2 linked regions of the Danio rerio genome follow. The protein of the gene in region 1 purifies or fractionates together with the protein of each later gene. This does not show direct contact. Links are inferred from orthologs where the notes say so. Each region holds a gene or a part of one and is shown in the gene's direction. Other genes may lie near its edges.

The links. Proteins that work in one complex are often made in the same cells at the same time.
Region 2: the proteins of gpn2 (region 1) and polr2j purify together in Homo sapiens (affinity purification with mass spectrometry; 3 studies listed by BioGRID and IntAct, counting the BioPlex papers as one, with this or other methods). This does not show direct contact. The link is inferred for Danio rerio from reciprocal best matches to the Homo sapiens genes GPN2 and POLR2J.

What each region holds. Positions count from the first base shown.
Region 1 is NC_133191.1:37,154,508-37,159,554, forward strand, and holds the start of gpn2 (GPN-loop GTPase 2), read left to right. Parts: upstream 1-1,559; 5' UTR 1,560-1,629; intron 1,630-3,660; 5' UTR 3,661-3,707; coding exon 3,708-4,121; intron 4,122-4,196; coding exon 4,197-4,353; intron 4,354-5,047. UniProt on the Homo sapiens protein: Small GTPase required for proper localization of RNA polymerase II and III (RNAPII and RNAPIII). May act at an RNAP assembly step prior to nuclear import.
Region 2 is NC_133180.1:67,353,404-67,358,567, forward strand, and holds the start of polr2j (DNA-directed RNA polymerase II subunit RPB11-a), read left to right. Parts: upstream 1-1,812; 5' UTR 1,813-1,848; coding exon 1,849-1,901; intron 1,902-3,735; coding exon 3,736-3,825; intron 3,826-4,085; coding exon 4,086-4,260; exon of another isoform or gene 4,261-5,060; intron 5,061-5,164. UniProt on the Homo sapiens protein: Core component of RNA polymerase II (Pol II), a DNA-dependent RNA polymerase which synthesizes mRNA precursors and many functional non-coding RNAs using the four ribonucleoside triphosphates as substrates.

The sequences.
Region 1 (5,047 bases):
CTGGTTTCAACTGTATTTGGACTAGAAACAAGACAAAAATTATTATTATTATTATTATTATTATTATTATTTTTGCATAAATCATAATTAAATGGAATTCTGTAGCTCCCTGTCAACTATAAGTAAGACTCAACATTGCATATCTATGCGATGTGAGTATTGTGCAAATTGGGATATCCATGCTGAAACGATATTGTGCAATCCTAATGTTTACATTGTCAAGCCAAGTGGACAAGTTCAAAATGATTGATCTTTTTTCACACCTTTAGTTTCATCGATAGATGTTTGATAGTATTTCACCTCAGTTTACATCACAGTCTGGAAGAAAAGATCTGTCGTTACTTTCACTACATCAACATTAAAAGAAGTGTTTTTTAGGTGGAAATTTCCCAAACTTCATTTCTCATTGTCTTTTCTCTTCTCCAGGTTAGTGGAGTTCACACGGGTGGATGGCACTGCAGGCAGGAGAGTGAAGCCGTACATCATCGATCTGGGTTCTGGTAACGGCACCTACCTGAACAATCAGCGCATCGAACCTCAGCGTTACTACGAGCTCAAAGAGAAGGACGTGCTGAAGTTCGGCTTCAGCAGCAGAGAGTATGTGCTCCTTCACGAGTTCTCTGACACAACCGAGGTCGATGCGAAGAAGAAGGAGGAAGAAGAAGAGGAGGATGAAGGGCTGGATGAGTAGCTCTCTCCTCAAAGTTTACCAAAGTAACCTGTTTGTGCTGGACTGAAAGTTTTTTTTCAAACAGGACGAGCATGAACTGCTCATTTATTCATAATTTCCTTCTGAACAATGAAACGATGATGCTTCAGCCTGCCCAAGTTGTCTGTATGACTTATTCTCAGGTGGATAGCTTTTGTATCCCGTCAAACTGTGTACATTGTTGTCCCTAAAAGCAAGTGCTCAAAGCCAGAACTAATGAATCTGTCTTTAAAAACATATATTTTGGATACGCTTGAAAAAGAGTGAATATAATGTTCGTTTTGGTTACTGTAAATATACTGGATTTATCTGAAGTGACTGCTCGTTTAATGTGTTTTAGTTTGTAGTATTTGTGATTTAGATGCGTACTATGTTCTGGTCAGTTGAACCAGTCTCCTAGCGCCAGCATCTTCACGATCATTCAGAAAATACTGAGAATAATTTGAATAGTGCTACAGAAAAGATGCCATCTTTCTTTACATATTTTCTATTCTCTCACAGTGCATTCATATTTGATGATAAGATGTTTTGTATTGTAAAATAAAGATGGATAATAATGAATGTTTGTATTTTGATGGACTGCACACATTGAATTTGATGGTGTGAACGCTATCAAATGTGTTGAAAGTTAAGAAATTCCTTTTTCGTTTTTATAGGGAATTTAATAGGTATTTAATTTTTCAGTTTACATAAATATAATAAATTCGGTATTTAAAATGCATTTATAACGTAGAAATTAAAGTTTGTCCTTCAAATACCGTCTTTTTAAAAAATTTTGATTGTTAAAAAAAATGTATACTCCTGAAGAAAATGCCTCGGTTACATTTTGAGGTACCTTTATTTTGAAGTCGCCACATCCGGTTTGCATCACAATTCAAGCGTCATGTTGTCGTGAGTAAGGTAGTTCGCTGACTTTAAAGGTTTGTGTACATGCGTTTTTGTGAACTGTATGTCTGTGTCGTGATCTAATACCTGTTTATTTCTTCGATTTACATCAATTGTCGCTTATGGGGGTTTTGTTTTCGTCTCTAAAGTTGTTTGTTTACCGGTAGTTCACAGACCGCGCGAATCTGCATCATGTTAATGTCACAGCATCAGCGCTGTGGTTTTTGCGTTTAGAAAAAAAATAGTGATTGAGAATTAAATATAATTACTTAATGGTGATGTCCATTATTTATTTCAAGTACTTTTCGTTTTCCTTAAAGGGATAGTTCTGCGTTTTGTCATCAAGTACTCGCTCTCGTTTGGTTCCAGTGAGATTCTTCTGTGCAGATTGAATGCCATGTCCATATCCATCTCATGATAGAGAGAAAAAAACATTTAAGTCGCTGTTGAGTTTCCAAGTGTTTTCTGTAAGTTGATGACAGGTTGATCACCAGGATGAAATCAGCAAGACAATGATCTGAAACACCGCTAATAAAACTCAAACTGTTTCAGAAAAAGAAAATCAACCTGTAGAATGGCCCAGCCTATCACCTGACTTGAAACCAATATAAAATACAAATTAAAGATGAGTTTGGACCGACAAAACCCACAGAACCATCTACAGCTTCATTTTCTTTTTCTGAAACCGTTTGAGAGTTTCCTTGTCTGTGTTTTGGATCATTGTCCTGCTGAAATGTCCACTTTGGCTTCATTTCCATCATGCTAATGTAGATGTTGGACTGTAGCAGCTGATATTACTTTACAAAGATGAATGGTAGAGGGTTGCTGAATAACTACTGAGAGATTTCAGCTGCTGTCTGGGCTTTCACTGCCTATTTACACCTCTTTCTTCATGTGTTCAATACTTTTGCTTGTGTCATTTCATTACACAACTTAAATTAAAAACTAATTAATATTGTTTTCTTTGCATAAATATGTATTTCTTTGGTTATCAACATCTGTTGAAAATATCAAGTCAACAGCATCTTTAGCAATATGTTTTGTGAGAAAAAAGGTGATGTATTGAATATTTATTTTCCCCACTGTATATATATATATATATATATATATATATATATATATATATATATATATATATATATATATATATTTATATATATTTATATATATATATATTTATATATATATATATATATATATATATATATATATATATATATATATATATATATATTTATATATATATATATATATTTATATATATATATATATATATATATATATATATATATATATTTATATATATATATATATTTATATATATATATATATTTATATATATATATATATATTTATATATATATATATATATATTTATATATATATATATATTTATATATATATATATATATATATATATATATATATTTATATATATATATATATATATATATATATATATATATATATATATATATTTATATATATATATATATATATATATATATATATATATATATATATATATTTATATATATATATATATATATATATATATATATATATTTTTATATATATATATATATATATATATATATATATATATATATATATATAAATATATATATATATATATATATATATATATATATATATATATATATATATATATACTTTGCAAGAAAACTGCTTATACAAAGGCATATGTCATCATAGGAGATAGGTTTTTGAGTGAACTGACTCTTTAAAGTAAATATTGTATTTAAAATTAAAAAAAGAAAATCGGTAAATTTTCTGTGAATTTATTTACATTCAGGAAATCCATCAGACCTTCGTATGACAAGTATATTATAAGGAGCAACAAGTGTTATTTTTGCCTGTTGTGTATGTTTGGTTTTTCTTTTTTTTTAGAAAGCGACCATAACTGTCGACTTGGATTTTACAAATCACCAAAGACCATGAACTTAACTAAAACTCTTTCTTAACATTCTACTAAACAGTCAAGTCTTCATAAACTATAACATGATCAATTATGATTTGTATAATCCTGCCTCTTTCTCTTCTAGATGTAGCCTAGTTTGCTTCTTCACATAGAGGTGAACTTGTCTTCATCATGATGTCATCGGATCCTCCATCTCTGCGCTTCGGCCAGGTTGTGATTGGTCCGCCTGGTTCAGGTAAAACCACTTATTGTCGGGGCATGCAGGAGTTTCTGAGTCGCCTCGGGCGAAAGGTGGTCATTGTAAACCTCGATCCTGCCAACGAAGGCTTGCCTTATCCGTGTGCCGTGGACATAGCAGAGCTTGTAACTCTGGATGATGTGATGGACGGTCTAAAACTCGGCCCCAATGGTGGTCTCATCTACTCTATGGAATATTTAGAGGCAAATTTGGACTGGTTGGAAAACAAGCTGAAGCTGCACCATGACTGCTACTTTCTGTTTGACTGCCCAGGCCAAGTGGAACTGTACACTCATCACAATTCAGTGAAGAATATCTTTGCACAGCTGTCCAAGTGGAATTTCAGGGTACGTTCTTTTCTCTTTTGTATTTCTGATTTATTAGGGTGTATTCATTTGTTTGTTTTGATTTGCTTTCGGCAGCTGACTGCAGTGCATCTGGTGGATTCACATTACTGTGCTGATCCGGCTAAGTTCATCTCAGTGCTGTGCACATCTCTGTCCACCATGCTGCATGTTGAATTGCCACATGTAAATGTGCTGTCAAAAATGGACCTCATTGAGCAGTATGGAAAACTTGGTGAGTTGATATACTCGGGATTGATACAGAAATATAGCCAAGCATCTTGAGGATATTCTGCTGTTTGCAAAGAAAGTTTACTGTTACATTATATTATAATGAATTCTAGAATATCAATATATGCTATTGTATTAGTACAATTTTCTTGCAAAATACGTAACCATTTTTAAGTTTTATATATAACATGATGATATATATAGTGGGGAAAATAAATATTCAACACGTCACCTTTTTTCTCACAAAACATATTTTTAAAAATGCTGTTGACTTAAAATTTTTACCAGATGTTGATAACCAAACAAAAGCATATATGATATAAAAACAAATTTAATTAGCGTACAAATTAAGTTATGTGTAATTAAATGAAATGACACTGGAATAAGTATTGAACACATGAAGAAAGGAAGTGCAGACAGGCAGTTAAAGCCCAGACAGCAGCTGAAATCTCTCAGTAGTTTTTTAGCAACCCTCTGCCCTTCGTCATTGTAAATAAATATCAGCTGGAAATAAATTTCAGCAAGAAGATGATAAAAAACACAGCCAAGGAATCTCAAATGCTTTCGGAGAAAAAAAAAATCAAGCTGTAGATGTTTCATCTGCCCAAATTGATCTTTAAGGTAGTATCCAATCGTATTTTCTATTGGATTCAAGTCAGGTGATTGGCTTGGCCATTCAACAGCTTGGTTTTCTTTTT
Region 2 (5,164 bases), on another chromosome or scaffold:
TTGCTTTTCACTGAAAAATTCATTCATTAATTCATTTTCTTGTCAGCTTAGTCCCTTTATTAATCCGGGGTCACCACAGCGGAATGAACCGCCAACTTATACAGCACATGTTTTTACGCAGCGGATGCCCTTCCAGCTGCAACCCATCTCAGGGAAACATACATACACACTCATACACTACGGACAAATTAGCTTACCCAATTCAACTGTACCGCATGTCTTTGGGCTGTGGGGGAAACCGGAGCACCAGGAGGAAACACACGGAGAACATGCAACACATGCAGAAACGCCAACTGACCCACCTGAGGCTCGAACCAGCTACTTTCTTGCTGTGAGGCGATAGCACTGCCTACTGCGCCACAGCATCGTCTTCACTGTAAAATATAATAATTAGAATATTTGCTTCAAATACATTTATTTAAAAAATTCTATACTTAGATAAAAGGAAATTATATATCCATTAAATAATATCCATTAAATAGTTGTTAAACAGTAAGTTGCATCATTTGGATCTTTGAAAGGCCATTGAAAGAGCAAAGATAATATATCTTGTTTTATTTTTATTTATTTTTTTACATATTTGCGGATATTGCAATGAAAACTGGAAATGTCATTTTAAAAATACTATCTTGTTACCTAAATTACTTCATAGAGGTAATTTGTTCAGTGCAAAATTTCTGATATTTGTTAAGTTGAGGGAGTTTGATAAGTTTCTTTGAGCTATTAGCATGTACAGCGTGTGGCTCAATTTCATTTACATGCAAATATTATGCTAGAAATTCAGTCCTGTTACTTTCAGTCCTGTTACTTATAAGAGTTACAGGAATGAGTAACAATAATGAAAAGCATCTTCTGATACTTAATAGAATGAACAGTTTTTATTATATTATTCATCTGATTTCCACACGTTATGGATGGAAATGTTGAAGTTGTAAGATATTTAAAGGAATAGTTTTCTCAGAAATGACAGTTCCACTACATGACACACACACACACACACACACACACACACACACTCTCTCTCTCTCTTTTCACTTACTGATTTGGTTTTCTTGTGAAAACTTTTTTTCCCTACAATTTACTCAGTTAAGTTCTGTACATCATATACTTAAATGTTAAGTAAATTATGTTATAAAAAACATGAATTTCAGGCCACAGTTTTCTTGAAAAAAGGGAAAGTGCCTTTGCATTCCTATAAAAATACATTTTTTTATGTAAATCGTGATTTTTTAAATACAAAAATCAAATGTTTGAAAGTGTAACAAACCATATTTTAAAAAGAAAATCACTTTCTTAAGAGGAAAACAAAGTAATTACCTGATAGACTTTTATTCATGCTTTTTAAAAGACTCGTTAGTTTGGGTAATATGACTGAAAAATGCATTCATCTGCCACATAATACCTTGTAAAAACTCAAATTAAGTCATTTTATGTGGACCAATACATATTTTGAAAAGTTAAGTATGTGTGTTATTAGATTCCGCCTTGAAAAGTAATTAAAAGAAGTTTAATTGTAAAGAGTTACAATAAGCAAAATGCATCCATTCGGTGGAATGGTCAATAATTACTCCCATGCTAATCACCATACTCAACTTTTACAAGCGATGGTCAAAATTAGATATATAATCCAACCATTTTGACCCAAAGTGTATTAAAAGACTCATAATAAAGGTACCTCTTAACTCTGTCGTTGTGTTGAAAATACTACGACCAGACTACGACACAATACTGCCCCCGGTCGTTATTCACTCAATATTACCCTTTTTCCCATGTCTTCCCATGTCATGCGCATGCGCAGTACAACGTGCGTCCATTAGTAGCATCGTTCGCTGCTGGTTTTGAAGCAGGATGAACGCGCCACCAGCATTCGAGTCTTTTTTGCTGTTTGAGGGAGAAAAGAAGTAAGTGCACTATAAAGCTGTCTTTGCTATTCAATTATACTAACATATTATACTAGCCTATAATAAGAGTAAATATTCAGTTGGAAGACAGGAGGGAGATTCAAAAGGCTTTAGCTTGTTGGCTAACGACAGGTTACGTTAGTCAGTCCATCTGAAAACAAAATACAACCTACTTCTGTTTACAGAGTGCTTTATACAATACAGCTTAAATCATATCGACGATTGATTCATTCACTATTTAAGTTTATTGTTCATTATTTTTGTATAAACGAATACAATTTCAGATGCTAAGCTGTTTGAATAAGACATGTAATACCAACATTTAGCTCAATTAAGTTTAAGTTGGTTAAGTGACCTTGTGAATCTAAATAAAAGTATTCGTTTTTAGACGTACTTTAGGTCATGATACCATGACATTTTTTGAATACCATGTAAATACCATAGTACATGTACAGTAATTGGTCTCAGCATCAAATTAAATAACAGAGGTAATACGTAACGTTAACATATAAAATTTATGCAAATAAGGTGTGCTTTAATGTTTTAAATAACTTTTAACTATAAAAATAAGATTGTCAAAAATATTAGTAAAATAACCTTCCATATAAATATGAATATATTTTTTAAAAAGTAAACCTTTATTGTAATCTACATTGATTAAAATATGCAGTAGTAAGTGCTTAAACTAAATTGTTTTGCCTTGTAAATGCCTCTTTCTGACAGATATGCTTGACAAATTTAAGTAAAATTGGTTTTGTATTCGCACATTTGGACTTTCTCCTTAATATAATTTCAGAAAAGTTTTATTTGCAAATTCTGAATAGAGAAATCATTAGCAGCCAATGACTATCAAAGTACAACATTGTTCAGTCAGGTAAATAGTACTTATGTTTTTGAGAAGTCATATTTGCAGGCTATTTTAGACTGAATATTCAAAGCAGTGTGATAAACAATATATGCACAGTGTTACAAGGTTTCACTGTTCAAAAATTACCAAATGTCTGAATATAAAACCAACTTTACCTCAATGCTTGACAATACTTTTTGGCATAAAAAAATATTTTTGCACTGAATGACATTTAAGTGAGCATCTTCTCTTAATAAGGGTTAAAATTATAGTAGGATAAAAAGATGATAAATATGATGATAAAGCTTATTATATTTTGTATATTTACCTAGAAAAACATTTTTCATCTCTGATCTACTTAACAAAGTGACATATTACTGCCAACATTGTACCATGATACCACAGGGTCTGCGGGGTCTTAAGAACTATTAAAAGTTGATTAATCAATGTAGAGAAATGTAAGGCCCTTAAAAAGTATTTTAAAATCCTAAATGCTATTTTGCAAGGTGTTAAATTTTATATAATTTTGATTGTGCAATGTAGGTATGGTTGTATGCTAAAGTTTGCCTGAATTAAATCTAAATGTCAGGATGCTGTGTAGTTTATGAAATCAATGAAATCCTGCTAGATTTGACATCATGCAGTTTTGTTTACTGCAGTTATCAAGGAAAAACCATTATTTCTGCAGTTCTATAGGCACCAACCTGCTGAATTAGCTATATTTAATAGATTTTAATTCAATATAATTATGTATATCAATATGTAAGTTTTTTACATTAATATTTAATAAATATACTGTAAGTTAAAATCTCTTTATTGTTTCCGATTGAAATCTTAAGTGATAATAAGGTCTTAAGGTCTTGTATGGAGAGAGTCTTAAAGGTATTGAAATTCACTCTCTGGTTCCTGTATATACTCTGTACCAAAACATTACTATTTTTAAAAGTAAGGGATTGCCTAAAATTTCTGTTCAACTTCTTTTTACAGGATCACAATAACCAAAGACACCAAGGTGCCGAATGCATGTCTGTTTACTCTAAATAAAGAGGATCACACACTGGGAAACATCATCCGATCGTAAGAGACCAAACTTTTGATACACTAAAACATTTTCAGATATTTATGTGGGTTTTGTAATCATCCTATATTTACATTAGAGCAATTCCATGCAAATGTCAACCTTGTCATGAAAAAGATTAGGTTTTAACTCTGTGGTTAGTTGTTTTGGAAAATATAAACAGATGTTTCAGTATAATGTTAACACATACTTTCTCTGTGAATGTGTTTTGAGATCTTACTGCAAATGTCACATTTGTAACATTGGAATTGCTCATTAGGCAGTTGCTGAAGGACCCCCAGGTGCTGTTTGCTGGATATAAGGTTCCTCATCCTCTGGAGCATAAGGTTGTGATCCGCGTTCAGACGACACCAGACTACAGTCCTCAGGAAGCCTTCACTAATGCCATCACGGATCTGATCAGTGAGCTGTCCCTGCTGGAGGAGCGATTTAGGGTATGTTCATGTGTTTGCATTGAGTAAAAAATGATTCCAGAACAAGCGCTCCTGAAAAAAATGCACTCTATAGCAGCACTGCAAAAGACAATTGAGGTAAAGTTGGTTTTGTATTCACACATTCAGACGTTCTACTTAATATTATAATTTCAGAAAAGTATTATTTGCAAATTCTAAATAGGGAAATCATATCAGCGTCCAATGGCTTTCAAAATGCAACATTGTTCATGATCAGTTAAATGGTGCTAATGTTGTTTTAAAGGGCACCTATGGTAACAAATCTACTTTTCAAGCTGTTTGGAAAGACGTGTGTAAGTAAAGTGTATACACCGTCATATTGGGGTGATATAAACACACCCAGTGTTTTTTTTTTTTTTTTTTCTTCAATTTAACAACATAAAAACGACAGACCAATTGGAGCAGTTTTTAGAGCGACCGCAACTTGATGTAAAAGTGTGGTCCCCCCGCCCACCAATATTGATTGACAGGCATGCGTAACCTAATCCTCAGTTTGTTGTTTCACGTCTGCCATTTTCAGTGTTTGAGTCAAGGCGATATCACCAAAGGAACACCCTTGCTTTATTGTTAGATGTAAGGCTCATTGGGCTCAACACAAGATCAATATTCTCCACATTATCGCTCTTATCAGAATTATTGGTTGTACCTTTAGGTTTGCAAACGTGTACTTTTCATTGCGTCTACCTTAAACTTCAGCCATTTCTTAACCGTTCTCAGGTTCACAGAAACTCCCTGTGATCTTAACTAGGTGCAGCTGGAAAAGTGCAAGCGCGTTGCCTCAGGTGCGCATCTCTCCATTAGAAAAAAATAACAAACTTGCCTGCAGGTCGCACACCAGAAGCTCCGCTTTGCATGGCGCGACATTGGCGCAGCGCCATGCATTTTG